7 linked regions of the Rattus norvegicus genome follow. The protein of the gene in region 4 purifies or fractionates together with the protein of the main gene of each other region. This does not show direct contact. Links are inferred from orthologs where the notes say so. Each region holds a gene or a part of one and is shown on either strand. Other genes may lie near its edges.

What was found.
Region 1: the proteins of Cul5 (region 4) and Lrrc41 purify together in Homo sapiens (affinity purification with mass spectrometry; 3 studies listed by BioGRID and IntAct, counting the BioPlex papers as one, with this or other methods). This does not show direct contact. The link is inferred for Rattus norvegicus from reciprocal best matches to the Homo sapiens genes CUL5 and LRRC41.
Region 2: the proteins of Cul5 (region 4) and Wsb2 purify together in Homo sapiens (affinity purification with mass spectrometry; 3 studies listed by BioGRID and IntAct, counting the BioPlex papers as one, with this or other methods). This does not show direct contact. The link is inferred for Rattus norvegicus from reciprocal best matches to the Homo sapiens genes CUL5 and WSB2.
Region 3: the proteins of Cul5 (region 4) and Rab40c purify together in Homo sapiens (affinity purification with mass spectrometry; 5 studies listed by BioGRID and IntAct, counting the BioPlex papers as one, with this or other methods). This does not show direct contact. The link is inferred for Rattus norvegicus from reciprocal best matches to the Homo sapiens genes CUL5 and RAB40C.
Region 5: the proteins of Cul5 (region 4) and Cops7b purify together in Homo sapiens (affinity purification with mass spectrometry; 3 studies listed by BioGRID and IntAct, with this or other methods). This does not show direct contact. The link is inferred for Rattus norvegicus from reciprocal best matches to the Homo sapiens genes CUL5 and COPS7B.
Region 6: the proteins of Cul5 (region 4) and Spsb2 purify together in Homo sapiens (affinity purification with mass spectrometry; 4 studies listed by BioGRID and IntAct, counting the BioPlex papers as one, with this or other methods). This does not show direct contact. The link is inferred for Rattus norvegicus from reciprocal best matches to the Homo sapiens genes CUL5 and SPSB2.
Region 7: the proteins of Cul5 (region 4) and Cops7a purify together in Homo sapiens (affinity purification with mass spectrometry; 3 studies listed by BioGRID and IntAct, with this or other methods). This does not show direct contact. The link is inferred for Rattus norvegicus from reciprocal best matches to the Homo sapiens genes CUL5 and COPS7A.

What each region holds. Positions count from the first base shown.
Region 1 is NC_086023.1:134,809,927-134,812,861, forward strand, and holds the end of Lrrc41 (leucine-rich repeat-containing protein 41), read left to right. Parts: intron 1-106; coding exon 107-271; intron 272-361; coding exon 362-460; intron 461-992; coding exon 993-1,115; intron 1,116-1,364; coding exon 1,365-1,440; intron 1,441-1,542; coding exon 1,543-1,762; 3' UTR 1,763-2,251; downstream 2,252-2,935. Other genes in the region: Rad54l (DNA repair and recombination protein RAD54-like), read right to left, coding at 2,366-2,579, 2,665-2,828. UniProt on the Homo sapiens protein: Probable substrate recognition component of an ECS (Elongin BC-CUL2/5-SOCS-box protein) E3 ubiquitin ligase complex which mediates the ubiquitination and subsequent proteasomal degradation of target proteins.
Region 2 is NC_086030.1:44,882,060-44,886,283, reverse strand, and holds part of Wsb2 (WD repeat and SOCS box-containing protein 2), read left to right. Parts: coding exon 1-2; intron 3-140; coding exon 141-272; intron 273-3,673; coding exon 3,674-3,774; intron 3,775-4,224. UniProt on the Homo sapiens protein: May be a substrate-recognition component of a SCF-like ECS (Elongin-Cullin-SOCS-box protein) E3 ubiquitin ligase complex which mediates the ubiquitination and subsequent proteasomal degradation of target proteins.
Region 3 is NC_086028.1:15,437,630-15,442,653, reverse strand, and holds the start of Rab40c (ras-related protein Rab-40C), read left to right. Parts: upstream 1-1,994; 5' UTR 1,995-2,053; exon of another isoform or gene 2,054-2,155; 5' UTR 2,156-2,198; coding exon 2,199-2,340; exon of another isoform or gene 2,341-2,564; coding exon of another isoform or gene 2,565-2,608; intron 2,609-4,501; exon of another isoform or gene 4,502-5,024. UniProt on the Homo sapiens protein: RAB40C small GTPase acts as substrate-recognition component of the ECS(RAB40C) E3 ubiquitin ligase complex which mediates the ubiquitination and subsequent proteasomal degradation of target proteins.
Region 4 is NC_086026.1:62,911,410-62,915,073, forward strand, and holds the end of Cul5 (cullin-5), read right to left. Parts: intron 1,197-3,664; coding exon 1,002-1,196; 3' UTR 784-1,001; downstream 1-783. UniProt on the Homo sapiens protein: Core component of multiple cullin-5-RING E3 ubiquitin-protein ligase complexes (ECS complexes, also named CRL5 complexes), which mediate the ubiquitination and subsequent proteasomal degradation of target proteins.
Region 5 is NC_086027.1:94,702,878-94,707,101, forward strand, and holds part of Cops7b (COP9 signalosome complex subunit 7b), read left to right. Parts: intron 1-2,176; coding exon 2,177-2,379; intron 2,380-3,969; coding exon 3,970-4,075; intron 4,076-4,224. UniProt on the Homo sapiens protein: Component of the COP9 signalosome complex (CSN), a complex involved in various cellular and developmental processes.
Region 6 is NC_086022.1:159,298,272-159,302,541, forward strand, and holds Spsb2 (SPRY domain-containing SOCS box protein 2), read left to right. Parts: upstream 1-1,602; 5' UTR 1,603-1,766; intron 1,767-1,960; 5' UTR 1,961-2,039; coding exon 2,040-2,703; coding exon of another isoform or gene 2,704-2,870; exon of another isoform or gene 2,871-2,949; coding exon 2,950-3,080; 3' UTR 3,081-3,297; downstream 3,298-4,270. Other genes in the region: Tpi1 (triosephosphate isomerase), read right to left, coding at 3,961-4,079, 4,204-4,270. UniProt on the Homo sapiens protein: Substrate recognition component of a SCF-like ECS (Elongin BC-CUL2/5-SOCS-box protein) E3 ubiquitin-protein ligase complex which mediates the ubiquitination and subsequent proteasomal degradation of target proteins.
Region 7 is NC_086022.1:159,456,972-159,461,986, reverse strand, and holds the start of Cops7a (COP9 signalosome complex subunit 7a), read left to right. Parts: upstream 1-1,813; 5' UTR 1,814-1,935; intron 1,936-1,956; exon of another isoform or gene 1,957-2,055; coding exon of another isoform or gene 2,056-2,069; intron 2,070-2,285; coding exon of another isoform or gene 2,286-2,328; coding exon 2,329-2,490; intron 2,491-2,844; exon of another isoform or gene 2,845-2,950; intron 2,951-5,004; coding exon 5,005-5,015.

The sequences.
Region 1 (2,935 bases), on a different chromosome or scaffold from region 4:
TCCTAAGTTCTGGAACTAAAGGTGTATGTTACCACACCTAAAACATAAGTATTTTTAAATGAGGTAGAGAAAGCTAAATGGAATGTCCTCTTTCTCGCACGTACAGAAAACTGCCTAGAGCAGTTGGAAATGGGATTTCCACGAGGAGCCCAGCCAGCCCCACTGCTCTGCTCTGTTCTGAAGGCCTCAGGTTCTCTACAGCAGCTGTCACTCGACAGTGCCACCTTCGCCTCTCCTCAAGATTTTGGGCTTGTTTTGCAAACACTCAAAGGTAGGAATGGTGAGGGAGGGTACGTAAGGACCTAGCATTGTTCCCTGGGAAAACTAAGCCCCACCACCCATGGCTATGTCTCCTATCCAGAATACAACCTGTCCCTGAAGAGGCTGAGTTTCCATGATATGAATCTTGCAGACTGTCAGAGTGAGGTGCTCTTTTTGTTAAAGAATCTGACCCTTCAAGGTAAGATCCTAACCCAGAACCTGAGCGTTCCTCTGTCTTCAACATAGCTTTGTCATTATCTCAGTCTGCAAATCATGTTTTCCTAGTCTTATATCTTCCTTGACTATAAAGGATAAAGAACCTGCATGACCTTCCTTCTAATATCCCAAAAGTTAGTACATCACCCAGTTTTATTGTTTTTATCAAGGGTGGTAGCACCTGAGTGAGTTCAATTAAAAAATAAGATCATGGGGAGAAATAATTGTGCTACTGTGTGTGGATGTTCCCTTCAGATACGCGTAACAATCTCTACCCTGCAAAGGCATCAGTTACTATAAAGAGGGGGAAGTGGATAAAAATTTATCCATGCAGAGATGTTCCTCAAACAGTTAGGCTTAATATCCTATTTAAATTGAGTTTCAACATTGCTCGGATCATTACAGATTATCCTTTTCAAGTGTATATAAATAATCACATTACTAGCCAACCTAGGACAGGAGGGACAGCACCACCCCTGCTTCAGTTATCCGAATATTCTACTTTCTCTTGTCAGAGATTACCTTCTCCTTCTGTCGTCTGTTTGAGAAGCGCCCAGCCCAATTTCTTCCTGAGATGGTTGCTGCTATGAAGGGCAACTCTACACTGAAGGGCCTTCGACTACCAGGGAACCGCCTAGGTAGGGACCATACCCTGGAGAGGAGGGAAGAAGGGAGGAAGGAAGAAAGGAACTAGGCCTTTGACCTAGAAACTTTTGGGGTAAAGGTACTGACCGGTCCGTTGAGAAGGCTAAGGTTGCAATATAGGTATTTGAGTCCTAGGTGTTCAGAACTGCTAGGACTAAGGTTCTCCCAAGTTGGAGCTGGGATAGGAAAACCTTGTTTCCCTGTTCCTGGGCAGAGGTATGAGTATTCCTCTCTCTCTCCAGGGAATGCTGGCCTATTAGCCCTAGCAGATGTTTTCTCAGAGGATTCTTCCTCTTCTCTCTGTCAGCTGGACATCAGGTATGCTAGGGACTGGGAGACAAGGGATGGGGGAGAAAGGGATATAATAGAGACGAAAGCCTGGTTGCTTCCTGGATATCTAATTCATCTCATCCCCACCAGCTCCAACTGCATCAAGCCAGATGGGCTTTTGGAGTTTGCCAAACGACTGGAGCGCTGGGGCCGTGGAGCCTTTGGTCATCTACGCCTCTTCCAGAACTGGCTGGACCAGGATGCAGTAACAGCGAGAGAAGCAATCCGGCGACTCCGGGCTACCTGCCACGTGGTTAGCGACTCATGGGACTCAACCCAGGCCTTTGCAGATTATGTCAGCACCATGTGATGGGGCCCATACCTCACAGGCCCATCCTCAGTACCGTCAGCTTGCAGGGACTGAGCCATGGGCTGCCCAGAACCCCTAACCACTGATTCTGTCATCCTCCTCCTGCCACTTTGTCTATTTCTGTTTTGTTTTCATCTTCCCTGGCACTGAGGTCCTGGAGGCCTCAATGAGGCCCAGCAAAGGCATTCCCACAGCTGAGTTCAGAGGCTTTGGGCCACTTACTCGGTACTCTGGGAACCCCAGGCCAGGTTATGGGTCTCTGTCTTCACTGAGGAAAGCCCCTACCCCTGCTCTGGGGTTTCCTGCTTCACTCCTCAAGCAGGTACCCAGGCTTAGAGCAGTATAGGAATGCCTACCATCAGGCCTCTCCCTCCTGGGCTTCCCAGTCTGGTCCCGGGCCTCAATCCCTTTCATGCCTTTATTCCTTTCTTTTTTTTTTTTTTAAACCAAAAAAGTTTTTCTTATAAAATAAATTTTGGGCAAACATCATGCAGCCCTTCTTGGTGATTTTCTCCCAGAGAACAAAACTGAGCAGAGACTCGTGAGACAGAGGACCCCCTTTTCCCTGTATCCTTTCCCAAGCTACTCATCCAGACCAGCTGGTTAGCAGTGAAGACCCCGCTGCTCCTCATGGGAACGCTGGTGGAAGACGAAGGTGATGGCTGTAGATGAAGCATCCCAGGCAGCCTGGAGTACCTCATCCTGGAGCCCTCGTTTATCTGTGTTATGGTTCCACTGAGCCAGGTCTGAAGTGCAGTCAGAACCATCAGGGGGTGGCCAGACCTGGCGGTTATTTACACAACGGCGGCAATGCAGTCTGGGGTCAGAGGACAGAGTTGGGTCACTACAGATTTCTGTGCTGCTCAGGTAGCAAAGAGGTAATGACAAGGCACTCCACATACCTGTCGTGAGTGTCACTGAGGCTGGCTTCATCCAGGGTAAACAGCTCTTTGAGCTCACCAAGAGAGAAGTGACGTTCCACATCCTGCTCCTCATCTACCACACAGCTGCTCAGAGCCTTCTTGTGGCTTTGCCGCTGAAAGATCTTTTCCTCAATTGTTCCTGCCTAGAAATGGGATGAAATATAGGACTCAACCAATCCTGTAGACACCGAGGGAGCAGAAATACCCAGGGGTTGAAAACATCTTGAGAAAGGGCAATTATCTGCCTCTG
Region 2 (4,224 bases), on a different chromosome or scaffold from region 4:
AGGTAGGTCTTTCTGGCTAGTGCTAGGTCCAGGGCGGTGGGCTCTTGACGTGAGTCAGGCCCCACCAACTGCCAGGTGGCTGATGAGTGGGCACCAGCCAGTGAGCCTGCCTTCACCGTACACCGACCTGTTCCCTCCAGGGCTCCTGCTGCTGAATCTTTCTGGCCACCAGGATGTTGTGAGAGATCTGAGCTTCACGCCCAATGGCAGCTTGATTTTGGTCTCTGCATCCCGGGATAAGACTCTTCGCATTTGGGACCTGAATAAGCACGGTAGGGGGAGGGGCTGAACCACTCAGTCCTGTGCTGACTGCAGCCTTCATCTCAGCAAGGCCATTTCCCGTGAGCTCCCTTCCTCCTCCGCCTCACCCAAAAGCCTCCTGAGATAGCCTCATAGCCACCCTGTGGCCTTCAAGTACTGAGCTGAAGGTGTTTTTACTATCGGAGTTCACTGCACAGCTGCCCTGCAAGGGCAGACTCTAAGACCCTCTCAGGACGCCAACCCCCAAGTGCTCATGCCTCTCACGTAAGCTGCCATTGCATTTGCACAGACCTCACATCGTCCAAAAGTGGGCTCTGGAGGGCTCGCAGTCCCTAGTGTGCTGTAAATACTCTGAGAACAGTGGCTGTATGTCCTGTAGGCATCACTGACAAGAAGACTAGATTCAGTACAGTCTTTAACATTTAAATTTACTATCATTGTCCCAGGGTATGTGTGTGTGTGTGTGGGGGGGGGTGCTATCACATGCCCCAGCCTGCACGTGGAGGCCAGAGGACAGCTCCCAGGAGTGACTTCTCTCCTCCTGTCCATCTGTGGGAAAATGATGGCCATAAACTCCTCTTCCCTCTCACCATTCAGGAGTCACACCAGAGCTGAGAGGGACTCTGCAATACACAGCTTGTACAACCCGCTGAGAGACAGTTACTCTAGGCTGAGATCCTACTTGAAAGGCACCTCTTTTTATCTCAGGAAGCCCCCTCAGGACTGCTCTCAGACCAGGGGCTCCGGGTGAAGGAGCAGGCACTAAGTATCCTCCAGGGAACACTTGTAGTGTCTAGAGAGCTTAGAAGTGGCTTCTCAGGAGACTGAGCGTGGGGTGCCGCTCAGCATCTGGAGTGCATAGGCTAGCTAGTAAGGAGACTGAGCGTGGAGTGCCGCTCAGCATGTAGAGTGCACAGGCTAGCTCATAAGGCAGCCGTGAAGCCTGTTCTAGATCACATACACCTAGGGCAGTAGCACTTCTGAGTATTCAGACTGTGCTTTCCTGTGAGCAACATGCACTGATACGCAGCCAGCCCACATACCCATGAACACAGATGGCACACATATGGCTTTTTTGTGACTGACCATAGATCCAGGCTGGCAAGGCAAGATAGCTCAGTGGTAAGTGAACCTGCTGCTAAGCCGGATGACCCGAGTACCATCCCCAGAACCCACGTGTAGAGAGAAGAAATGGCAAGGGAGTCAGTCCTAGAAGAGGTGAATTCTCCAACAGTGAGACTGGGCCGGTGCCAGTCTCAATCCATTAGGAGGGATTTCTCCTACCTTCTTAGTACTGAGAATCCTGGTCAGTGCTCTAGTACGGGTTTCCCTGGTACATGCCCCAGCCTGGAGGCCTTATCAGCACACAGCTGCTTCTGTGCTGGAGGCTGGAAGTCTTAGGACCAAGGAAGTCTTAGCCATGTACATGATGACGCGGGTGGCGGGGTGTCCATAGATGGCTCTATCACAGACACACATACATGGCTGATGACGGGGGGCGGGGTGTCCATAGATGGCTCTATCGCAGACACATATACATGGCTGATGACGGGATAGGGTGTCCATAGATGGCTCTATCACAGACACACATACATGGCTGATGACGCGGGGGGGTGGGGTGTCCATAGATGACTCTATCGCAGACACACAGGGCTCTCTAGGTCTGCTCTCTTGCATAAAGCACTACTCCCATTCTTGAGGGCTTCCTTCTCAGGACCAGTTTGATTTCCCAAAGACCCCATTCCAAATGCCATCTCTTGGAGATTGTTTGAATCCTATGAATTTTGGGGTCCCCACAGTCCATAGCAGCTTGTAGATAAACAGTTACAGAGGTGTTTAGAGTGTCCTCATCCAGACTCCTCACTCACTAAGACACCCCACCCTGTGGTTTCTATCTGATACGGGAGCTTGAAACCCAGCAGATGAATCTGGCCCTGCTAGCAAGGACCTGGACACACCACAGCTAAGCTGCCCCAGCCCCACGCCTGCTGCACTTTTAAGACAGGGTCTCTGTGTGTATTCCTGCAACTTTCTGCATAGACCAAGCTGGCCTTCAGTTTACAGATCTGCCTGTCTCTGCCTTCCAAGTGCTGTGATTGAGGGCTTACACCACTGTGCCCAGCCCCAGCTTGGCCATATTCCATGCTGGGTGTGTAGGGCTTCCTCACCGGATGGCTTAGTCTAGGTTGGCCCTGGACCTCATTGGACGGTTTCCTCCTCCCAAATGCTGAGGCCTGGGCACACCGGATGGGAAGGTTGAGGGAAGACTCAGTAAATCCCTTGCTGTCTGGGGGAGAGTGGACCAGGTGGGGGGGGTCCGACTGTGGGTGGAACAAAGTGGACTGGGGGGGTCTCTTGTTTTTAAAGTGTACTGTATTTAATGTTTTGCCTGTGTATGCACACCATTCATGTGCCTGGTGCTCAGAGGCCAGGGTGGCTGTCAGAGTCCTTGGGTTTGGAGCTGAGGATGTGTGTGAGCTGCCATGTGGCTGCTGAGAGCCACAAGAGGACAAGGTGCATTACCAGGCCCCAGGTTGTCCTGCTAACCTGACTTAGCGCGAGCCACACATCCGGTTACCACAGCCAGGCTGCCGTAGAAGCAGCACAGCTGGCTTGACAGACTGATCACTCACAGCCTCTGCTCTCCATGCCCTCCTCTTACCCAACCGCCTTCCCTCGCTTGCGTCTTCCACGTGTCCCTTGCAGTTGCTAACCCATGTCAAGAACCACAGTGTTTGTACTCGGAACACACTCCTGAGCACACGCACATTGGGTTTTGAGGTCATTTCACAAAAAATAGAATTTTATTCCTCATCTTTTCTCCTGTATATTGCAGTTTTCCTTAAGCAATACCATGTGGGGAAGTTTCTCTTCCTTCTGAACCACAGGCTGGGCGTGGGCCCCATTGCCTCTCTCATCCTCATGTAGGCCCGGCCAGCCTTGGGGTTTGGGAAGGTCCAGGCCTGAGAAGATGATGCTCGGTGCCTGACCATGCCGTCAGAGCATAGCGCAGTGGCAGACTCTACTGGGAACCAGGTTGTCTGACCTCAGAGCGCACACCTCTCATGACTGTCCTTCTGTGTGTCCCTTGAACAGCGCCCCTTAGGGAGCCGTGAGAGGCTGTCAGGCCTGGATAGGTGTGAGTGAGTACAGTGCTGGGGTCTTGAAAGGACGGTCTCTGCTGCCATCCTCACCTGCAGACTAGAGGAAGCTGCAGGGGGTGAGCGCCCTTGGCTTCTTGGCCGCTGCCTCCACAGATTGCAGGTGTTTGCTTGTCCCTTTGATTTGCAAGTGTTTGTCACAGTTCCTGTCCTGCACTAGAATGTGGGTCTTTGCCTGGCGCTGAGCCCTAGAAGGTGTTCCTGGGTCTTTCATTTCTGAGGGCTCATGGCCTTCTGTTCTTCTCTGGCAGGTAAGCAGATCCAGGTGCTGTCCGGCCATCTGCAGTGGGTTTACTGCTGCTCCATCTCCCCTGACTGCAGCATGCTGTGCTCTGCCGCTGGTGAGAAGTCGGTAAGCCTCCAGCGTGTGCGCGTGCGTGTGTGTGTGTGTGTGTGTGCGCTTGTGTGTGTGCGAGCGTGTGTGCGTGAGTGTGCACGCCTATGCATGTGTGTGTGCATGTGTGCGCACGCGTGTGTGTGTGCATGCATGTGTGTGCACTGCGTGAGGTGTGTGTGTGCGTGCGCGAGTGTGCATGCACATGCTAAGTCACAGTCCATCTGCCAGTGTGTCCCAGCAGAGGTGGCTGGCTGGCTCAGGCCCCCACACAACACTCGGGAGGCTGGAGCATGACCATGACCATGGAGAGGAGGCTTTGGAAGTGGGTGGAAGAGGTTCCTTTTCCAGAAGGTGAAGTGCAGTATTCCCAGACCTTTTTTCCCTTTGGAGTCCAGGATTTGAAAAAAAAAAACCACAGCCCACACCCAGACCTGAATTTGAATCTCTCCAGTTTGACTCCATATG
Region 3 (5,024 bases), on a different chromosome or scaffold from region 4:
TCCACCATATCAACACATCTGTGTCTGCCATCTGATTTTTAATGATTTATGTGTCTCAGTGTTTTGCCTGCATGTATGTAAGTGCGCCAAGAGCGTGCCTGGTGCTGGAGAGGTTAGAAGTAGACCTCAGATCTCCTGCCTGGAACTGGAGTCATGGCTGTGAGTCAACAAGTTGGTGCTGGGAACTGAACCCAAATCCTCTACTAGAGCAACAAGTGCTCTGTGCTCTGAACTGCTGAACCAATTCTTCATCCAGTGTCTCATTTTATCTGTTTTTTTTTATAATTTTAAATGTGCATTGGTGTTTTGCTTGCATATTTATCTGTGTGAGGGTGTCCGATCTCCTGAAACTAGTTACAGACACTTGTGAGCTGCCATGTGGGTGGTGGGCAGCTAGGGATCTTTTTTTTTTTTTTTTTTTTTCGGAGCTGGGGACCGAACCCAGGGCCTTGCACTTGCTAGGCAAGCGCTCTACCACTGAGCTAAATCCCAGCCCCTAGCTAGGGCTCTTAACCTCTGAGCCATCTCTACAGCACCCCCTCCTCCCCCACATTTTATCTATTATCTGGCAATGTTCAGGAAGTTTGTGTAAAAACTGTTCCAAGGTACAGTATGTGTGTGTGACTGACTGCAGCACGTGCACCTACGGTATGTGGCGGTCAGAGGAGGATAACTTTCAGAAGTCAGTTCAGCCTTCTACCCTGTTAAAATGGGCTTACACCAGGCCAGGTAACTTTCGAACTGTTGGACAAATTTTCCTATCTTTACTTCCTTCCTTACTATAGGAGCAGGAGGTAGGTGGGATGAGGATTACAGATGGCCAGGCACCGGAGGGAGCTCAAACTCACTCTGTCAGGCTTACAGCGCAAGAGTGTTGGTCCCAATCTATGTTTACTTTTTTAATTTCTTGCTATTCACGTGACTTGTGAAAGCACTTTTCTGAAGAACGCTGTCCGTGGCCCTCCAGCTTCAGAGCTGGCCGACCAAGTGTACACATGCAACGTGTTGCCCATCCCGGAGTCCACCTGGATAACGCTGCTCTCGCTGGTCTAAGCTTCCAGGATCCCCAGTGGGAAGAATGTCCTCATAAGAGTCAGCTCAAAGGAGAAGACCTTCAGCATTCATGCTTGTGCCTAAACTCTCAGGAGCGGCCCCTCCTACTCCACGGCCAGGAGGAAGTCCCACCCCTTGAACAGCCTACAACGGACAGAGCCTTGCCCCCACCGGGACGAGCAGTAATTGGCTGTCCCCGCCCTGCCTCCAGGGAACGCGAGCCGGAGAGTGTACGTCCAAACTACGTTACTTCCCTTCGAGAGAAGCCAGTGCAGCTTGAAAGATATACTGCCCCCCCTCAGCGACTCATTCATGTCGCCTCAAGCAGGAGTTATCTCTATCCTTCCGCTTGTCCACAAGGGGGAGGGGTAGACTTGTGTAATATTTGACTCTTGATTGGCGCGAATTAGGAAAGGGGTGGGCTTAGAAGGTTATGATCGATGTGAGATGGCACAAATGCCTTAGCAGTGGTAGCCAATGGTGATGACAAGGGGGCGGGAGTCCAGGATGTTGCTTGTCGGTGCCGGGCTACTATGGCTCTGAGGCAGCCTGCAGGAAGCGGTAGGGGTTCAGACGGACATGCAAGAGCGACCAATGATTTTGGAAAATCAGCGGGGAAGTGGCCAATGGTCACAGCGAGGAGGCGGGGAAATTCGCCAGCCTCCGCAACACTGTGTACGAAATGGCGGGGACGGGACTTCAGTGACAGACAAGCATATAGACCAACAGAAATGATAAAGAGGGTGGCAACGGGCCAGTAGCAGTGGTGAGTGGGCAGGGCGGGGCGACCGTGGGCTGGGCGGCACCGTGTGTGGGGCGACGTGGGGGCGGGGCGATCGTGACGGCCAGGGTGCCAAGCCAATGGCCCGGAGAGGGCCGGCGGAGGGTGGCCAATGGCGGCCGCGCATCCGGGGGCGGGGCTGCGGGGCTGCGCGGTGCCGTGCGGGAAGCGGCGGGCGGCGGCGGCGGCGGCGGTAGCAGCGGCGGCTAGGAGGCTGAGGTGAAGCTGGAGGCAGCGGGGTGGGTGCACTGGGGGCGGTGGCCAGTGGGCGGGAGCATCAGCGTTTGGACCGCACGGCCGCTCACCAGCCTTCGCCCGCAGGTCTGGCGGCGGTGCCGTGGGCCGCGGTGCGGCGGGCGGGAGGATGGGCACCCAGGGCAGTCCAGTGAAGAGCTACGATTACCTGCTCAAGTTCCTGCTGGTGGGCGACAGCGACGTGGGCAAAGGCGAGATTCTGGAGAGTCTTCAGGACGGAGCAGCCGAATCCCCGTACGCCTACAGCAACGGTAGGCCGGGGTTGGCGATGGGCGCGCGGGGCGGGAGCGGCCTGTCGCGGGCGCGGGCGGCCTCTGCGCGTGTCGCTGCGGTATCCTCTGGCCCTGCCTTGGGGAGCCGTCGGCAAGCAGATGCGGGCCCCGGTGGCTAGTAGGAGGTTTCAGCAGCAGGTCTTTGGAGTCCTTTAGAGCCCGGAATGGGCCGCGCGGCAGATACCGCATGAGCGGCCGGGTGCTCACCGCACTGCCTCCGGAGGGGTTTGCTCAGGGACACCGCACCCTGTGCAGGGAGAAAATACATCTGCTGCGATGTGATTCTTGTTAACTTCCGGGTGCATGGCAAAAAAAAAAATACACAAGGTAGATTGCATCACTGGCACTTGTCTGAGCTTGCCTCTTAATTTAGGTATTTAAGGTAAAATCGTAGCTAACAGTGGGTGGGATTGGATCACAGGCTACAGGGGCTGCTGACTCCGGAGGAATTAATGTGCAGTGGGCCTGTCATTCTTATATCACTGGACTAATTGTACCTCCCTGGTCTCTCCCTGGGTTCCTTTTCTCTGCCTCTTTACTTTGTTCTCTGGGGTTTTGTTAGCCCTGTCTTACTGCTCTGAGCACTGGAAGTCTGGTAAATAACAGCTGAGTGTAGGCAAGACATCTACCACTCTTTGCAGTTAGGACTTGTCAAGGGTGATGACCACCAGGACTTGAGTGGAGGATTATTTCTTCTGAACAGAAGTGCTGGATCTTCTCTGTACCTCTTCCCCACACTCCTGCTCTCAGCTTCAATCTATAGCAGGCATCTTTGAGTGCAGGAAAGGAAGAGCCATGGTTTTACTTTGTGGGGCATGTGAAAGGACCTCTGCACAGCCAGGCAGCCTTGACTGGTATTTGACTGGGTGCCCCAAGGTGACAGCCCGGCTTAGATAGGCTTTGGGGTTACCTTTCCAACAGAGGAGCATGGAACAGGCTGGGCTTCAGAAGTGCTTAGTGTTAACTTGGTGCTTTGGAAAGACAGCCTGTGGCCCCCGGCCCTAATCTTAACCCCCCATCAGCTTCAACTGCATATACACACAGCCTCCAGCTGGATCTTTCCTCATCTCCTCTGTCAACTGAATCTTGCCAGATTTCCTATGACATGCTACCTGAAGTTCGGCCAGTAGCGCATAAAGAGTACAAAGGTGTGAGACGTACTGAGGGCTGCTTAGCACAGGGCACCACTCACCAAGTGCTTTTACACTGCACAAACTGTAAAGCCCAGGGCACACTTGCAGGTCCTTGTGTGGGTCCTGCAGTATGAAGCACAGAGGGAAACAGCTGTGTCAGCATGTTTTTTGTGTCGGGTTGACATGCATATAGCACAAACATCAGGTCTTTGGGTCAGAGCATTGGGCCACTGACCCATGGAGCACTCCACGGAGTGAAGTTGGTTGATCTGAGAATGCTTGGGCCTTCTCAGAGGAGAAGAGATTAGAAGTGATAAAGCAAGGGTTGGGGATTTAGCTCAGTGGTAGAGCGCTTGCCTAGCAAGCGAAAGGCCCTGGGTTCGGTCCCCAGCTCCGAAAAAAAAAAAGAAAAGAAAAAAAAAAGAAGTGATAAAGCAGCTGGTTCTGGAGAGGGAGCACAGTGTGTTTACTGTTTGAAAGAGCTGGACTTCTGGTTCTCTAAGTAGAACCAGACATTTCTCCGTATGTCAGCCAAGCGGTGGTGGCACACTTCTTTAGTCCCTGTACTGAGAAGCAGAGGCAGATGGATCTCTGAGTTTGAGGCCAACCTGATCTACAGAACAAGTTCCATGATAGCCATGGCTACCCAGAGAAACCCTGTCTGGAAAACAGAAAGAGAATGTTTATTTCCAACTTTAGGTTTTTTTCAAGGTTCAGGCTTCTCTGATCAGGGTAGTCCCCACCTGGGAAGGGGCCTGCTCCATATTGGCCCCAGATCTCCTTCTTTTTTTTTTTTTTTTTTTTGGTTCTCTTTTTCGGAGCTGGGGACCGAACCCAGGGCCTTGCGCTTCCTAGGTAAGCGCTCTACCACTGAGCTAAATCCCCAGCCCCCCAGATCTCCTTCTTGATCCCAGCCGGGTTATTTACCTGTCTTAACGTCTCGTCTAGCTTGTTCCTCAGGTGTGAACATCGCTCTCTCTGACTTCACAAACATGTGAGTCATCAAAACGACTTTTTTTTTTTAATTAGCACTGACACCTGAAACAGTGACAGAGTAGGATCCTGTGACCACATGCCCAGCATCTGCAAGAGCCCCCAGGTCTGGTGCCTTAGATACTTATTAGGGTCTCTGTGGAGCTAGAAACATCAGGGCATTGAGGACGCAGCAGTGATTGTGTCCAGCAGCAGTGAGAGTCTCTTCTCTGGATGTAACAGGACACTTTCAGAGCACTTCCTTCTGGGCACCCACAGCAGAATTACGCTCCAGAGTAAAGGCATTGTGGAGTCTCAGTTGTGGGAGAGGATTGAGGGGGAGGGGCAGCTTCTATGCACAAGCATACAATGAGTAGATTTGCCTCTGGTTCTGATATGTGGCCTTGGAATGAAAGGTCCATGTTGGTCCCAAGTCAGCCAACTGGGTATTTACCCTTGAGCCCAGGAAACATTATTACTGTAGCACACAAGACTGCCCTTGTTTGTGATGTGGGCATTGAACATCTTTAGTTAAGACAATTCTATCTCACCCTAGCT
Region 4 (3,664 bases):
ATCACAACACTTTCAATCACCAAATAATTCTATGCTACAGGTTAAGAAAGCAATTCTCTCACTGTACTGTATCAGAATATTTCTGCATTGTTTTCAACAAATTTAGGTACAGTATAGTAAATATTAGGTGTATAAGTATTAAGTGTATTAGTAACACACTTAACATGTTTACTTCGGGATTCTGATTTCTGTAATCAGTGATGTACCTAAACCCATAAATTTTTAACTGAAACAACATTGACTATAAACTTCATGTTTTCAAAACAAGCTCTCCAGCCATACAAAGTCTAAAAAGAAAATCCCACATCTTCATGTTTAACAACAAATGACTAAACAGCACTCTCCTGCTCAGTGAAAATCAGCATTTGTAAGGTAGAAATATTTAATACCAGTTTCCGTTACCATTAAGATCCAGTCACTAAAGTGAAAGCAGTGTTTGACAAACAGCTCAACACTGGCACACTGTCTTCTCAAGTGTGCCTGCCCTTGCCCAACAGTGTTGACAATTCACTCTGCATCAAAAGAAGCTGAGTGCTGCCTCTAGCTTTAATTGCATTAAAAAAAAAAAAAAACCCAAAAATAACAAACCAACAAAAAACCCCAGCATTTCTCAGTGCATGAGTATCTGAAAATCCTTCCTTGTGTAAGTATATTCCTTTAAAGAGGAAAGGGGGATAAAAGAAGCAAAAGGAACCCCACCCTCACCCTTCCAAAATGTTATTTCTCTGGGTGGGTAAAAATTGAATTGACTTTGAAAGTTCATAATGGGCTCTTCATGAATGCAATTTTCTCCACAAAACAGCATGCTGTTAAAGAGTGTGCAACATGAAGGGATTGCCATCATGCTGACTAATGTGACTGGCAAAATATAGTCGCTTTGTAAGGTAAGGCAGAGTTTAATATTTATGTAATCAAAGTCCAAATAAACCTTCCTCCAGCTCAGCCTGGGACAACCTTCTGCCCAGGTCTCCAGATGTGTAGCTGCGGCAGGCTGGATTCAGCTACGCCATGTATATGAAGGTGTTGATGTCGGCCTCATCCCTCCTGATGTACTTGTGCTCGATCAGCCATTCGATTTGCTCTTTTATCATTTTCTTCTGTGGTAAGAACATGTTTTTCAAAATTTCTACTAATTCAGTCTGCAGCTGAGCATTGCTAATTTTCTTCCTCATTTTCATTATTTGTATGATGGCTTCCTAAGAGGAAAAGGGAAAAGGAAAGTACATGAATACATTCAACTAGTTTGAGCAAAGCAAATCAGTAACATTTCCTATGTTATCTCCTAACACCAGCCACACTGTACGGCCCCTAGCTATTCACCTGGAGACTTAATCAGCAGCTACAATTTTTTTCCCCTTGCACTTATTACAAAGATTTTGAAAGTAAAGGAAGCCAAAATTAACCTATAATCTCTACTGTTTTATAAAAATTAATATGCATTTGAATGCTTGACTCCCTGTATGACTTTGTACCACATACATGTCTGGTGCCTGAAAAGGCGGAATAGTCATGAGCAAATCTGTGGGTGCTGTTAACATAGCTCAGTGGATAAAGGTGCTTGTTGCACCATCTTAATGCACGATGACCTGAGTTCAACCCCTAGGACCAACAAAGTGGAAAAATAGTATCAAATCTTGAAAAGTTGTGTTCTAACTTATACATACACATATGATCACACACACATACAAATAAATGCAATAAGACACAGGACTCCACCTACACAAATTTGCCTCTAATATTAGGGTGTCTCTTTGTATAACAGGAGAACCATGAATGTCTAGTCTTAAAAATCTGTAAACACCTGGGTTCGGTCCCCAGCTTCGAAAAAAAGAACCAAAAAAAAAAAAAAAAAAAATCTGTAAACACTACTCTCTATATTAACTAGACTAATAATACAGTGATAGCAATATTTACCACAGATCCTGTCTTTACTTCTATTGATTTAATTCATGTTTCTGACATTTAAATGTTTCTAAAGAAATCAACATATTCCACCTAAGTCAATTTTATCAATATGGTCTTAGTGATTTTTAAACTACATAGAAGTTGGCAATGACATTACCTGAAAACTAGACTTCCTGTAATCATTATTAAAGTTTAGCTTCCCTTAGGCAACAAGGTGGCTCAGTGGATACTACAATTTTGTATAAAGGAAATAGAAGAGATGCAGTTGGTTCTCTGTATCTGTGTGCTCCACACTACAGACTGACTGAGCAGCAGAATCATGAGCTGATTATGGTGGCCTTTAATCCCAGTCAGATCTGAGTCCACAGAGTGAGTTCCAGGACAACCTGGGCTACACAGAGAAACCCTGTCTCAAAAACGAAACCAAACCAACAAAACAACCAACCACAAAAATGTAATTAGGCTTATGAGAGCTGCGTCTGTATTAAGCACACAAACTTAAACCACAGAGCATGGGGACTAGTCACACAGCACTTATACTGTATTAGGTGCTATGATGACCTAGAGATTACTTAAATATATGGTATAAAATATGTAGGGGCGTATTCAGGCACTACACATTCTATACAAGAACTGTGAGCACTGAGATTCTGGGACGTGCAGGAAACCCTTGGACTTTTTCCTGTGGACAACGTATTAACACCTGACAGCAACAATGCAAACACACTCGGGAACCCGCAGGTTCAGCAGGGTAAAATCCCTTCCACTTTTCAGCTCTCCTGTACAGGCATGACAGTCTGTCATTGATACTACATGATCTGCGATGCATCCAGTTACAAGCTTTCATACATTGTTTTTACAAGACGCTTTTAACTGTTATCATTGCACATCATTACATGTTACATGTTTACAAGCACACGCCAGAGCAGGAGTGTGGAAGTCAGAAGGCTTTCTAACAGCAGCTCTCTCTCCATCTGGTGGTTGGCTGGTTGGTATTCTTGAGGCAGGGTTTGTTTCTCTGTGTGGCCCTGGCTGTCGTGGAATTCACTCTATACATCTGTAAATGGCCTTCTGGGATTAAACTAAGATCACCAGGTTTCTGTTACCTGATGAGTCAGTCATCTTGTCCAATGATACCAGGCTTTTGATCAGATTATAAATAGGGCTTTATGTCAAAAATATAAAGGAAAACAAAAACAGTAAGTCTGTCCATCTAGGAATGTGAAGATTGTAGGACCATGAAAACTTTTAATCTTTCTTCGTGCTTCAAACTGTATGGCATTCACCAAAATTTCAAATAATACTAAATAAAAACTGTAAAAGTACAACCAAAAAAGCAGCCCTGTTAAAAGACTTTTTTTCTTTAATTAAAATAACCATCAGTTTGCAATTCATTAGAAGTTTTAAGAACTTGTTTGTTGTGTACACATGCACATGTGCCCATAGGAGAGCGCCTCTCGCTCTCTTCTACATGCGAAGGTTGGAAGACAACTGTGGACTTGAGTCGGTTTCTTCCTTACATCAAGTGAACTGCTGGGACTGAACTCAGGTTGTCAATTACACCACCTACCGCACGATCTCGCCAGCTCTGTTTCCCTGTATGTTGTATTCATTTCCGGGTAGTGGAGACGAGGAGAACGACCTCGCTAAGGAGCCTCTCTCCTTCTGACAGCGCAAGCTGTCAGCTTGCTGTCAAATATCTACGAACTGAGCCACCTTACCTTTCTAGTAATAAATATTTTTACCATGTTCAGAAGCC
Region 5 (4,224 bases), on a different chromosome or scaffold from region 4:
TGAGGCCAGGCTGGTCTACAGTGTTAAGTCCATATATCTTCATACATACAGCCAGGGTCTCTTTTTGACTGTTTTTGTTATGGTGATACAGACTCTATGTATTCACAGACTATTCTCAACTCACTGTGTAGCACAGGTTGACCTCACAGTCATGGCCGTCCTACCTCAGCCTCCCACATGAGGGTTGCAGGTGTATCACACCACACCTGTGAGAAGTAAGGCTTCTTTCAGCTGGTTAGCAACTTCCAGAATCCCCTAGTGCACAAGTAATTTTACTCAAGTAGGAGGAAAGACGCGCTGTGTTGGGTCGGGTGGACTTTTACTTATTTGTGATATGGGGGATTGAACTCCAGGCTTGTGCATGTTGGGAAAATACCCTTTATCTCTGAGCCACAACCTCTAGCCCAGGAAGGTAGCTTTCTAATCTTTGTGATTTTTCAGGGTTAATTGTATTTTTTTTTTTGCCTCATCTGCTCACTTTGTTTTTATTTAATTTCATATGCTAACATTAGGCCCTAATGTGTAAGATTCCCGCAACACACCTGCAGGTTCTGAGCCCAGCTGATTTAGAAGCCTTCAGGCAGTAGTTTACAGCTTTTAACAGAGAGGGGCCAGACTCCACTGATTTGTAGTTGGTTTGGCTTCACTTCTTCCTTACCTGTGTCTGTTTTTATGAGACTATACCTTTAAAAAGTTTGCATCTCTCTGTGATTAAGAGTTGTATGTTTGTTCCTTGATTTTTAGTTGCTAATGTACTGTTACCTGATCTAATCATAAATTTCTGGTTGTCACCAAGAATTTCAGGTGGGGGGGGGTTGGGGATTTAGCTCAGTGGTAGAGCGCTTGCCTAGGAAGCTCAAGGTCCTGGGTTCGGTCCCCAGCTCCGAAAAAAAGAACCAAAAAAAAAAAAAAAAGAATTTCAGGTGGGAAGTTCCTTTCTCCCTCTTTTCCTCCTTTCCTCCCTCTAGCTTGTTCTGGAGATTAAAGTTGGGGATTGGAACTCAGTGCCTCACGTGTATTTGTGTGGGGTGCCACCACTGTGCTGCACCCGTGGTCTGAATCAACCCTATTTTCTTGGGGAATGGGAAGACCAGGACCTTTTTCTCTTTCTTTTTTTTTTTTTTTCCGGAGCTGGGGACCGAACCCAGGGCCTTGTACTTGTTAGGCAAGCGCTCTACCACTGAGCTAAATCCCCAGTCCCCCTTTTTCTCTTTCTAATCATGGTCTTCTCAATCTTGGTAAAGAGTAGGAAGATTGTTTTGTTCTTTTGTTTTGTTATCATTTAATACTCACCCACCACCCTTGAAATTGCTATTTTCCTCTGCTCCCCTCTGCTCCCCTCTGTGCTCACTTTCTTTCCTGTGCTTCTGTTTACATAGTCAGTTTATTTCTAAACTAGAACTGACAGCTCGGGGTTTGTAGAATGTAGGTTTAATAATGCTCTGTTCTTGTTAGTCATTGGTTCAGGGCTGTTGTTGGAGATTTGATATTGGTCACAAAGGTTTGAGAAACAAGCACAAACTTCAGGATAACCTGTGATTGGTCGTTGTTGTTGGTGGTGGTGGTGGTGGTGGTGGTGGTGTGTGTGTGTGTGTGTGTGTGTGTGTGTGTGTGTGTGTGTGTGTGTGTGTTCGTTCTTTCTTTCATTCTGTTTTGTTTTGCCATGCCTCTTCTGGGTAAACTATTCAGTGTTAGTGTTTGAGGCTTGAACATTTCACAGTTCAGCATTTTATGTGAAGTCCAGAAGGTGGCAGTGTAGCACATACTGAGTATTTCTCTTTCCTGTGGAAGAATGTTTAACATCTATCTGTAAGAGTGTGGGTGTGGCAGCTGAGAGCTGGGTGAAGTCTAGGACATGAGACTAGAAAGTTACCTCCTTTGGTGCTGTGGGATCTTGTTGGGTGTCATAGGTTCCACAGTTTACCCGTCTCTCTTTTTTTTTTTTTTCGGAGCTGGGGACCGAACCCAGGGCCTTGCGCTTCCTAGGCAAGCGCTCTACCACTGAGCTAAATCCCCAACCCCTACCCGTCTCTTTTTATCTCAGATATTGGTGATTACCACTAGTCTGCATTGCTTAAGCACAGAGAGACAGTTCTTGCCTGTGTGGGTAATACTTGGATTTCTTTTTTCAATGCTTGCCAAGTGGTTTTAGAACTGTCATATGACCTATCCACAGTGTATCCCCTACTCTGTGCTGCTGAAGGACCTGGAGATGAGGAATCTCCGGGAACTAGAAGACCTTATCATTGAGGCTGTCTACACTGACATCATCCAGGGCAAGCTGGACCAGCGAAACCAGCTCCTGGAAGTGGATTTCTGCATTGGCCGTGACATCCAGAAGAAAGATATCAATAATATTGTCAAGACCTTGCATGAATGGTGAGACTGGGAGATGGAGGGAGGGCCTCTCTGCAGCACTGTGATCTTGAGAAGTGAGCTTGAGGTAGTCCAAGCTGGGGTCTTTGGACACTGAGACAGAGTGGGGCTGCATTGGTGGTTACAGCTGTGTGGCATTAGGAAACCTGGAAGGGTTCCTGGTGCCTGCCTTGTGAAGTTGACTTTAAATGCAGCTGGGCTGTAAAATGTTCATGTGGAGTTATAGGTCGAGTCTCTGCATTCTGGCTGTGTGGCACCAAATCGCAGCTTCTAAACATATCTCCTTATCCTCCCGTCCAATGAATAAATGAATTTAGTAAAAAGAACAGAGACTTTAGTATATTATTTTAGTGGGATTTGATGCTTGCAAAAGTGGTTATGTGTTCTGTAAGGATTTAATGAGCTATGTAAGTGATTTGGGGCTATGAAACCAGAGCTTAGGGAAGTGTGAGGAAGCTTTGAGGGAGAGCATTATTGAGAGTGGGGAGATTGTTCCCACATGGGCCTATGGCGTGCTGCATGGCATTCAGCAGACTGGGCAGCTTTGTGCTGAGAGTTAGGGACACTTGCCTTTGTTGTTGTTTTTTCTCGAAACAGGCCTTGTTCTCTAGCCCAGGCTTGCCTAGAACTAACTATAACTATGCATTCTAGGTTTGCCTCAAAGTCAAGATTTGTCCAACTGCCTTCCAAGTACCACTACACCCAGATTTTGTATACATAAAAAATATAATACATACATATATAAAATAGGCATTTTGCTTACATGTATAGAAGTGCACTGTGTGTTTATCTAGTGCCCACAGGGGTCAGAGGAGGGCATCAGAGTCCCTGGAACTGGAGTTATGGGTGATCGTGAGCTAGTGTGTGGGTGTCGGAAGCTGAACTTGGGTCCTGTATAAGAGCAACAAACATTCTAACCACTGAGCCATCTCTTCAGCCACCAGAAGAGAGTCTCAGAGCTCCTACTTATATGTTAGAAGGGGACTGGAAAATAAAAACACAGCAAAATATTGGACATATTGAATAGTAATGGACAGTGTGTAAATTTTCATTATATTGCTTTTCAAAAACTTATTTTTTGAGACAGGATCTCATTTTGTAGACCTGGCTGGTGTCACAGGCTAGCTGTGAACTCAAGAGATCTGTCTCTGCTTCCTGAGTACCGGGATTAAAGGCATGTGTCACTAAGCCCAGTGAGAAGTGCTTGTTAACTAGGAAATAACTTCAAATTCCGAGGAAAAGGCAATCTGTAAAATAGAACATTTACTTTTTCTTTTGTAGAAAGGGATCAAGTCAGTGTTACTTGTAGTTAGTCCCTCCTTCGGTCTTAGTCTGTAAAAGTGTTTCTTATGGACTGCAAGGACTGGAAATTAGAGCTGTATTCCAAGAAATTGCCCACAATCTGCAGCTGCTGTGCCCTTGGCCTGTGTTACATATTTAGATGACTTGGTTTGGAAGGAGGGAGGGGACTGACATGACCACCTGGCAGAGGAAGTCCCATAAAGTGCTGGAAGGATCTGGGAGGGAGATTCCTGAGCCTGTAGGAGCCTGCTTCCACCTCACTGTAGCTCAGGGCTGGGTTTTCTGTTGCAGGTGTGACGGCTGTGAGGCAGTTCTCCTGGGCATTGAGCAGCAAGTTCTGAGAGCCAACCAGTACAAAGAGAACCACCACCGGACTCAGCAGCAGGTGGAAGCCGAGGTAACTAGAAACGGAGCATTTGTTCCCCTCCTTAGGGTGGCCTAGGAATTAGCTTGCAGCGTCTTTGTGTTTGACATTGCTTTGCTGTAAATATACCAGGTAAACACGCCTTGGGGTTAGTACTGGAGTTTACCAGAGAATGAGCGGGC
Region 6 (4,270 bases), on a different chromosome or scaffold from region 4:
AAGAAAAGCTGGCTTACTGAACTAAGGCTGATAGTTACAACCATGGCTCGCTCAGCCTGCTTGCTTGCTTTCTTTCTTTCTTTCTTTCTTTCTTTCTTTCTTTCTTTCTTTTTTCTTTTCTTTTTTTCGGAGCTGGGGACCGAACCCTGGGTCAGCCTGCTTTCTTATAGAACTCAGGACCACCTGCCCAGAGATGGCACCACCCACAATGTGCTATCCCCCACCCCCCACCAAGAAAATGCCTTACAGCCAGATCTTATGGTGGCATTTTCTCAATTAAGGTTCCTTCCTTTCAGGCAGCTCTAAGAACTCTAGTTTGTGGGTCAAGTTGACGCAAGACTAGGCAGCACAGTGTATCCGTGCCATCACATTCGTGTGGAGTTCCGAAGAAATCGTTAACACCCCTGGGACTGGAACTCACGGACGTCTGTGAGCTTCAATGTGGCTGTGAGAACCTGAACTGGGGCCTCCACAAGAGCAGCCTGTGCTCTTACTGCCGAGCCATTGCAGCAGGCTCGCATCAGAGTTTTAAAACGTTAAAATTAGCTGGGTGTGACTCATACCTTTATAATCCTAGCATTTGAAAGTAGAGCTAAGAGGAACAGGAATTCAAGGCCAGCTCTTGCCTACAGAGCCACTTCTGTCCTAGATGGGCTACAAGAAACCATTTGAAACCCATCCAAACAACAATAACTACAGCAACAACGTTAAAATTAGGCTGGGCACAGGGTACACACCTTTAATGCCAACACTCAGGAGGCAGAGGCAGGCTGATCAGTGTGAGTTCAACCTAGTCTACAGAGGGAGTTCTAGGCCCTCTCTGCTCTCCCCACCTCTCTCTCTCTCTCTCTCTCTCTCTCTCTCTCTCTCTCTCTCTCTCACACACACACACACACACACACACACACACACACACACACACACACATTTAACTTACTGGTAGCATTATGTGATTTTTAAACTGTTATCAATAGACATCCAAGGAGGTCAAACTTCAATGACAATCTCTCCATGATAACGCAGATAGTAGTCTAACTTCACTCAGAACTAACCCTCAAAGCACACATCCTCTAGACAACGTGCCCACTAGTAGTCCCATTACTCAGGAGGCTGAAGCAGGAGGATGAATGGTTACCGCTTCAGCCACATAGGGAGACAGGCAGGGAACAATCTCAATCCCTACGTTCTCCTAAACGGGAGCAGTAGGTCAGGAAGGGTGTGAAGGCCTTTTCCTAATCTCAGGATCGACTTGCTCAGGCAGCGCAAAGGTCTCCAGTGGAGAAGTCTCCACACACGCAGAATCCAAGGCGATGACGTCATCAAAGGGTTAATTCTAGGCTGGGATGGGGGGAGGGCGGGGCACGCAGCTGTCAGGTGGCTTCGGAAAAATAAACTGCTGGGAGTCCTGGGAGGGACAAGAGATTACCCACCCAGAGTGTGCCCCACAAAACATGAGCGCTTGTCCACATTTGAAGTCATCACACACTCCTTGCCTGAATTCTTTGCAGACGGTGGGTTCCCAGGACGGGAAATGATGTGGCGGGCGTGGTCCGGGAGGTGACGATAGGGTTAATCGTCTCCAGAGCCCAGGGGCGGAGCGCAGGCGGGCGTCCTACGGCCCCGCTGGAGCCGGAAGCGGTTGCTGGTCAGGGGCGCTTCCACCCTTCCCTATCTGTGCTTCCACTGAGGTCTCTGAGGGGTAGGGGGAGCCCAGTGAGGTGCGGGATAGGGGCCGGGCCTTAGAGACCTCAAGGGGACGGTCCACGGTAAGGTCTGAGGGAGAAAAGTCGTGAAAAACTTGGGGGGAAAGGCGCGACGCAGATGGGGTGAAAGTGATGGGCCTGGGCGGGTTGGGGGACCAAGGGAAGATGAGGCTGGTTCGCATACACCGGTGAACGGATGGGAGCCTCAGGGAAAGATGCTACGCCTAACAGTCCTTTCTTTCTCCACGCCACTCCAGGGGACGATCCGGAGCTCAACTTTCAAAAGACAGACGCCCCAACAAGCCTGTTTTGAGAAGTTCTTCAGCTGCTCACCTCATGGGCCAGACGGCCCTGGCAAGGGGCAGCAGCAGCACCCCTAGCTCGCACGCTCTGTACTCTGACTTATCTCCTCCCGAGGGCTTGGAGGAGCTCCTGTCCGCACCCCCTCCTGACCTAGGGGCCCAACGACACCACGGCTGGAACCCCAAGGATTGCTCCGAGAACATCGATGTCAAGGAAGGGGGACTGTGCTTTGAGCGGCGCCCTGTGGCCCAGAGCACTGATGGAGTCCGGGGAAAGAGGGGCTATTCGAGAGGCCTGCATGCCTGGGAGATCAGCTGGCCCCTGGAGCAAAGGGGAACACACGCCGTGGTGGGCGTGGCCACCGCCCTCGCCCCGCTGCAGGCTGACCACTACGCGGCGCTTTTGGGCAGCAACAGCGAGTCCTGGGGCTGGGATATTGGGAGGGGAAAATTGTATCATCAGAGTAAGGGCCTTGAGGCCCCCCAGTACCCAGCCGGACCTCAGGGTGAGCAGCTAGTGGTGCCAGAGAGACTGTTGGTGGTTCTGGACATGGAGGAGGGAACTCTGGGCTACTCTATTGGGGGCACGTACCTGGGACCAGCCTTCCGTGGACTGAAGGGGAGGACCCTTTATCCCTCTGTAAGTGCTGTTTGGGGACAGTGCCAGGTCCGCATCCGCTACCTGGGCGAAAGAAGAGGTGAGATCTGGACTAGGTGTGTGTGGGGGGCAGGGAGGATACCACTTTTGACAATGGGTTGGGGTGGAAACTCGTGGTCGGACCACAGGAAATGGGCTTCAAGTCACTTAGGTGGCCTTGGCTCTAGCTTCACTTCCAGAAATTCAGAGCTTTTGGGTCTCCCTTAGCTAGGGTGGAGGTGGAGAGAGAGTTTGAGGATGTCTGGCGGGAGTTGCTTGCTTACCCTGTCTTCCTTCTCTGTCTCAGCGGAGGAACCACAATCCCTTCTGCACCTGAGCCGCCTGTGTGTGCGCCATGCTCTGGGGGACACCCGGCTGGGTCAAATATCCAGTCTGCCATTGCCCCCTGCCATGAAACGCTATCTACTCTACAAATGACCCTGTGGCACAGGGTGTGCTGGCACCCTACCGTGGGGACAGGTGGAGAGGCACTGCTGGCCTAGACAACTTAAAAGCTGGAGCTGAGGGAAGGAGGCTGGACCCCTTCACTACCCCTTTTCACAGGAACAAGACATAGAAATGATACTATAGGCTGTGGCAGCTTTGGACAAAAGGTTTTTGAAGTAAAAAAAAAATGAGATATATTGTCACAGAACGTGTTTCATTATTGGTTCTTTTTACATTCCACTTGCCCCCCCCCCTCGAGGCTAGAGCCCCCTCACTGTCTTAAAATTATGACAAACCATGTTTAGGCCCAGGTGTTTATTTCCCTTATATGTAGGATGGTTCACAAACACAATACAAGGGCTTCGGCACTACAGGGAGGGGATATCCCAGGCCTCTAAGAGTAAAAGGATCTTGGCCTTAATGTACACTGAAATTCAGACCCGAAGACTCTGAATCTCTGCATCACACATCCAGTAGGGCTTGGGAGTGAAGCTAGAGCCAAGGCCATCTAAGTGACAGGCCAAAGTGACAAGAAGCCTACTTCCTGTGGTCCAGCTGTGAGTTTCCATCCCAAACCAATGGAAGGCCGTTTTCACCCATTAGGGCCCAAAGGGACAGCTAGTTCTACTCCTTCCCCTCCTCAGGAAGCCATCTTGGTGACATATTTGATTTTACCCATTGTAAGTGGTAAAGGGATTGGCCTGGTCCCAACTATTATGGGGAGGTAAGAGGCTCAGGAAGGTACAGTATGGATTAGGTCACAAGATGGAGTTGATGATGTTATCAGAAGCATGTGACTGGCAGGAGCAGTTACTAAACTTCTGGGCAACCTGGTCCAGGCTACGCAGGAAGGTAGGGGGATGAGCAGTGCTCATTGTTTGGCATTGATAATGTCCACGAATTCAGGCTTGAGAGATGCACCGCCCACGAGGAAGCCATCCACATCAGGCTGGCTTGCCAGCTCTTTGCAAGTCGCTCCAGTCACAGAACCTGTAACAGGAGCAAGAGGATGGTCAGGGCTACAGTTAGAACACTTAAGCCCCACCTCTCTGTGCAAGGCAGCTTCAGTCTGTCTTAGCTCGTTTCCGCCTTGGGGGGAGCCAAAGCCACTCACCTCCATAAATGATCCGAGTGCACTGAGCCACCCCCTCAGAGACGTTGCATTTCAGCCATCCCCGGAG
Region 7 (5,015 bases), on a different chromosome or scaffold from region 4:
GCCATCTCTCCAGCCCACTCTTTTTCTTTTCTTAAGTTTTATTTATTATGTAGTGTTCTTCATGCATGTACACGTGCAGGCCAGAAGAGGGCATCAGATCTCATTATAGATGTTCGTGAGCCACCATGTGGTAGTTAGGAATTGAACTCAGAACCTCTGGAAGAGCAGCCAGTGTTCTTAGCCTCTTCTAACCTCTCTCTCTCCACCACTCTCAACCTGGAACTCACTACGAAGCCCAGATGGCCTCTGGGCCTAAGATCCTCCTGACTTAGCCTCCCGAGTGCTAGACTACAAGCATGTACTACCATGCCTCGTTTTTCCTGCAGGGAAGCAATGGAATCAGATAAGCCTGCACTTGGACCCTATGTTCCCTTGTCTCATGGGTTACTTCCAGAACTCAGGTCTTGAACTTTCAATTCCCCTGCCTTAGTCTACTGAGTAATGGGATTACAGATTATGAAACAGTAAGTCTGGCTTTACCTTAATTTGCCCCTTAAATGGTTTCTGTAAGTATTTTTGTTTTGTTTCATTTTGAGACATGGTCTCACTAAGTAGTTCTGGCTATACCATAATTCCCTATGCATAAGATGCTGGATGATTTAACTCAGAAATCCACCCAATTAAAGGTGTGTACCACCATGCAATTTAAAGTATTCTAAGACAGGGTCTCTCACACTGTAGCACAGGCTACCCTCCCAACTAATAGCAATCCTCCTGCCTCAGTCTCCTGGCTGTTGGGATTACAAATAACCAGCTGAATCCTTTAACTTTTAAATTTCCTCACCTGCCTAGGTTCTACTTACACTTTTCTCCTGTTGAGATTCAAGTATTAAAACCAGAACGATTAGGTGTAGTAATCCTTCTGGTTTTAATCGGCCAAAAGTCTGGTCACGTGGTCTGAAATTCCAACGGAAGAAAACCTCAAAAGCCTGACCAATACACTTCCCTTTCCCCTTAATCATTTGGGGGTTTGTTTTGTTTTTTCCAGACCGGTTCTCAAGTAGCCCAGACTGGCTTGGTATTTGCTATGTATTTTTTGCTTCGTTTTTTTTTTTTTTTTTTTTTTTGATTCTTTTTTTTCCGGAGCTGGGAACTGAACCCAGGCCCTTGCGCTTCCTAGGCAAGCGCTCTACCACTGAGCTAAATCCCCAACCCCCTGGGGCTGGTTTTGAACTCCCGATCCTACCTCTATTTCCAAAACACAGGGAAGCGGTGTGGGTCACCACTCCCTGCCCCCTTGCATTTTAAACTTTTATTCTGCTCTTTAAAAAACATGAGTGGTTGAACTACCTAAATTATCTACCGTTGAATTCTAGCCACGTTTGTCTACTTTTTATTCTGCTCTTTGAAAAACATGAGTGGTTGAACTACCTAAATTATCTACCGTTGAAACTCTAGCCATGTTTGTCTCCTATTTTTAGTTTCTGCATCTTCTCGTCTTCCACTAACGCTCATGCGGCCGGAGGAACTTGGCGCTGCCCTCCTCCCCTCTCCTGCAGCTACCGGGCGGTTCATCTACCCAGGACCTCCACGGAGCCAGGATTTTCTCTACACCCGGCATCCACCGCTCCCGCACCAATAAAGCTTTATCGACAGAGCGGAAGCTAGGTGTCGCTCTCTCACCTCCTTCGGTCGGGAAACGGAAGCAGGCCATAGCCGGCCGGAACCCGCCTCTCGAGAGCGGAAGTGCGGCCGGAAACTGGCCATAGAAGCGCGTGGCTAGAGCGACCCTGCGGGGAGGTGGCAGGAAAGGCTGGGAGCCGCTGCCGGAGGTGACGGAGCGGCCGCCCCGCCCCGCGCGCTGGAAGACGAGGCTTCCAGGTAGCGGTCGGTCGCAGTCTGTCCCAGGGTACGACCCGGCCTTGGGCACAGATTCGCGGACCCGGGGCTGCCTCTTTAAGGGAGGGGGTGGAGCCACGAGTGAGGATCGAAAAGGTGAGGTCACGTGGTTGAGGACACGTGCAAGACACGAGTTTAGAGCTGGGAGTTCGTCGTCGTTGGGGTAGACACCATGTGCCACCTCTTCCCTCCCTTCCTCATCTGTCCTGGAACTCAATGGGATGCACGTGGTGGGGCTTGGGACTGCCCCGATGGAGGAGAGGGTGGGCGTGGCAGCCAGGATGTGGCCGACTTTAAGGAACCCTAGAGTTGGCTTTTAGACTTCTTGACCTAATTGCACACTGCAGAAGTGACGTGGTACCTCTTGAGTGCAGTTCCCCACCCTTGAGCTGACCACCCTCACGTGGTTCAGGGACCTTTAGTTTTACGTTCCTCTTTCCTTGCAGCTCCAGAAAACTTGAGGCCAGAGCCCCGCACCAGGGTGCAGCCATGAGTGCGGAGGTGAAGGTGACAGGGCAGAACCAGGAGCAATTTCTGCTCCTTGCCAAGTCGGCTAAGGGGGCAGCACTGGCCACACTCATCCACCAGGTGCTGGAGGCCCCTGGTGTCTACGTGTTTGGGGAACTGCTGGATATGCCTAATGTTAGAGAGGTGTGTTGCTTGCCTGGGTAATTCAAAAAGAACCTCGGGACCAAAGTTTCCTTGAGAATGGTGGGCTCATTTTGTAACCAATAGCCACTCAGGTGAACAGGGTATTGATAATTAGATGTCAGCTTGGAAAAGTAAGCAGTCAAAAAAAGGTCTTCATTTCCTGTATCTCTTACAGAAAAGGGGTCTGTAAACTTACTGCTCCCTTCCTCTGTACCCACAATTTCAGTCAGGGTTTCACTGCGTAGTCCTGGCTGCACTAAACTGGTAATCGTCATCTGGGCTGGCCTTGAATGCTTGAGAATCTTCTTGACTATGCCTCATGCAGAAGTTAAAAAAAAAATTTTTTTTTTATTTAAAAATGTGGAACGCTTTATAAATTTGAGGTCATCTTTGCCCAGGGACCATGCTAATCTTCTCTGGATCGTTCTAGTTTTAGTATATGTGCTGCTGAAGGAAACACAGATTTTAAATTTTTAAACAAAAGAACATGTCATACACAATACCACTCATAAATGCCAGCTCGTCCACCAGTATGATATCTTTACTGTTGTTATTGATGTTGTTGTTTTTCGAGACAGGGTTTCTCTGTGTACTATAACTTGTGTTCTGGAACTCTCTGTGTGTTCAACTCAGAGATCCACCTCCGGAGTGCTGGGATTGAAGATTTGTGCCTATTGATACCTCTTAATAATCCTGTCACCATCATTTGGGAGGTAGAAACAGGTGGATCTCTGAGTTAGAGGCCAGCTTGGTCTACAGACTTGAGTTCCAGGACAGCCCCTGTTACACAGAGAAACCGTGTCTTAAAAACAAAACAACAAATCTTGTCACCTGGATCAGAAAAACCTAATTAAGTCTCAGTTTTCCCTTAAAAAATGGTGATGAGAACCTTGAAACAGCTGATAGAGTGGTTGCCTAGCATTTGTGAGGCCTTGGCTTCCATTTCAGAACTTGGGATGCTAAGGTAGGGCACCACAAATTTTAGACCAGCCTCTGCAACTTAGACCCCATCTCAAAAAAGGAGTAGGGATGTACTCAGTGAAAGAGCCCTTGTTTGTCGTATGCATGGCTCAGTATAGGTACAGTTCTCACAACTCCAATGAGGGAAAAACCGAAAAAAACACTACCTGGGCTGGAGAGATGGCTCAGCGGTTAAGAGCACTGACTGCTCTTCCAGAGGTCCTGAGTTCAATTTCCATCAACCACAAGGTGGCTCACAACCATCTGTAATGGGGTCTGATGCCCTCTTCTGGTGTGTCTGAAGACAGCTACAGTGTATACATATACATAAAGTAAATGATAATAAGAAAAAAAGCACTTCCCTTCACAGTTACAGTAGTAACTGTGGGAAAGTCTGGAGTCTCCTAAAATCAGAGAGAATGGGCATTTGAGTTATGCCATGGTAAATCCCACCCCCACCCCTACCCCACCCCCAGGTAGATGGTGAAGATGCTGTCTTCCCTAAGACAGTGGCAAACTGCTATGAACACAGTGACGAGAACATTCAGGGAAATGGCTGAGTCAAGAACGTTAAAAGTGGGGTTGGGAATTTAGCTCAGTGGTAGAGCGCTTGCCTAGGAAGCGCAAGGCCCTGGGTTCGGTCCCCAGCTCCGGAAAAAAAAAAAAAAAGAAAAAAAAAAAGAAAAAAAGAACGTTAAAAGTATAGAGCAGATGGATGGCCAATCCTGGGACACCAGCCTGTCATGAGAGTGACAGTAGTGTGTGGCTAGACTGAGCCAGGCATTAGAAGACCCGTGGTGGAATCAGAGGATAGAATGTTTTTTGGGACTGCTGTTTCACAAGAAACTGGCTTTTGTCCCTGATTTTCTCTACAGTGAACTAAAGTATGTCCTTAAGATGAGGTAGAAGGAGCATTTCCAGCTTGTGTTCCAGTGAAAGAGATCGGATAAATGGATAAAACAATACAAGTCAGCAATTTATCAGTAACTTACTTCGAAGGCCACAGCTCTGGGTCCTTGGAGGCTAGCAGATGCTGGGTCTATAGCCTTGTTAAAACATTGTTGGGGCTGGGGATTTAGCTCAGTGGTAGAGCGCTTACCTAGGAAGCGCAAGGCCCTGGGTTCGGTCCCCAGCTCCGAAAAAAAGAACCAAAAAAAAAAAAAAAAAAAAAAAAAAAAAAACATTGTTAGGTGAGAACCAGCAGAGTGACATGCCAGGATAAGTGGCAGTGACAGGAGGGAAGGTGCTGTGGATGACGTAAGACCTCGCTATGAGGACATTCTGAAGCCATGGCCACAAACCCTCTGGGGGGCGGGGGGGCACATAATTTACAGTGTCTGGTGTGTATGTGTGTGCACACGCACCTGTGCTACTCTGAACACTGAAAGTTTTCAGCCCTGACTGAGAATAGGAATCGGATGCGTAGCACAGCAAAGGGTTAGTAGCAGAAATGAGCCCCTGACAGACCAGGATAGGGACTGTTGGGAAGGATGGGGTGAGAAAGCAAGGTCAGAACAGGGCCTCCTTGTCACTGCCTCCCTTGTGTTCTTGCAGCTGGCAGACAG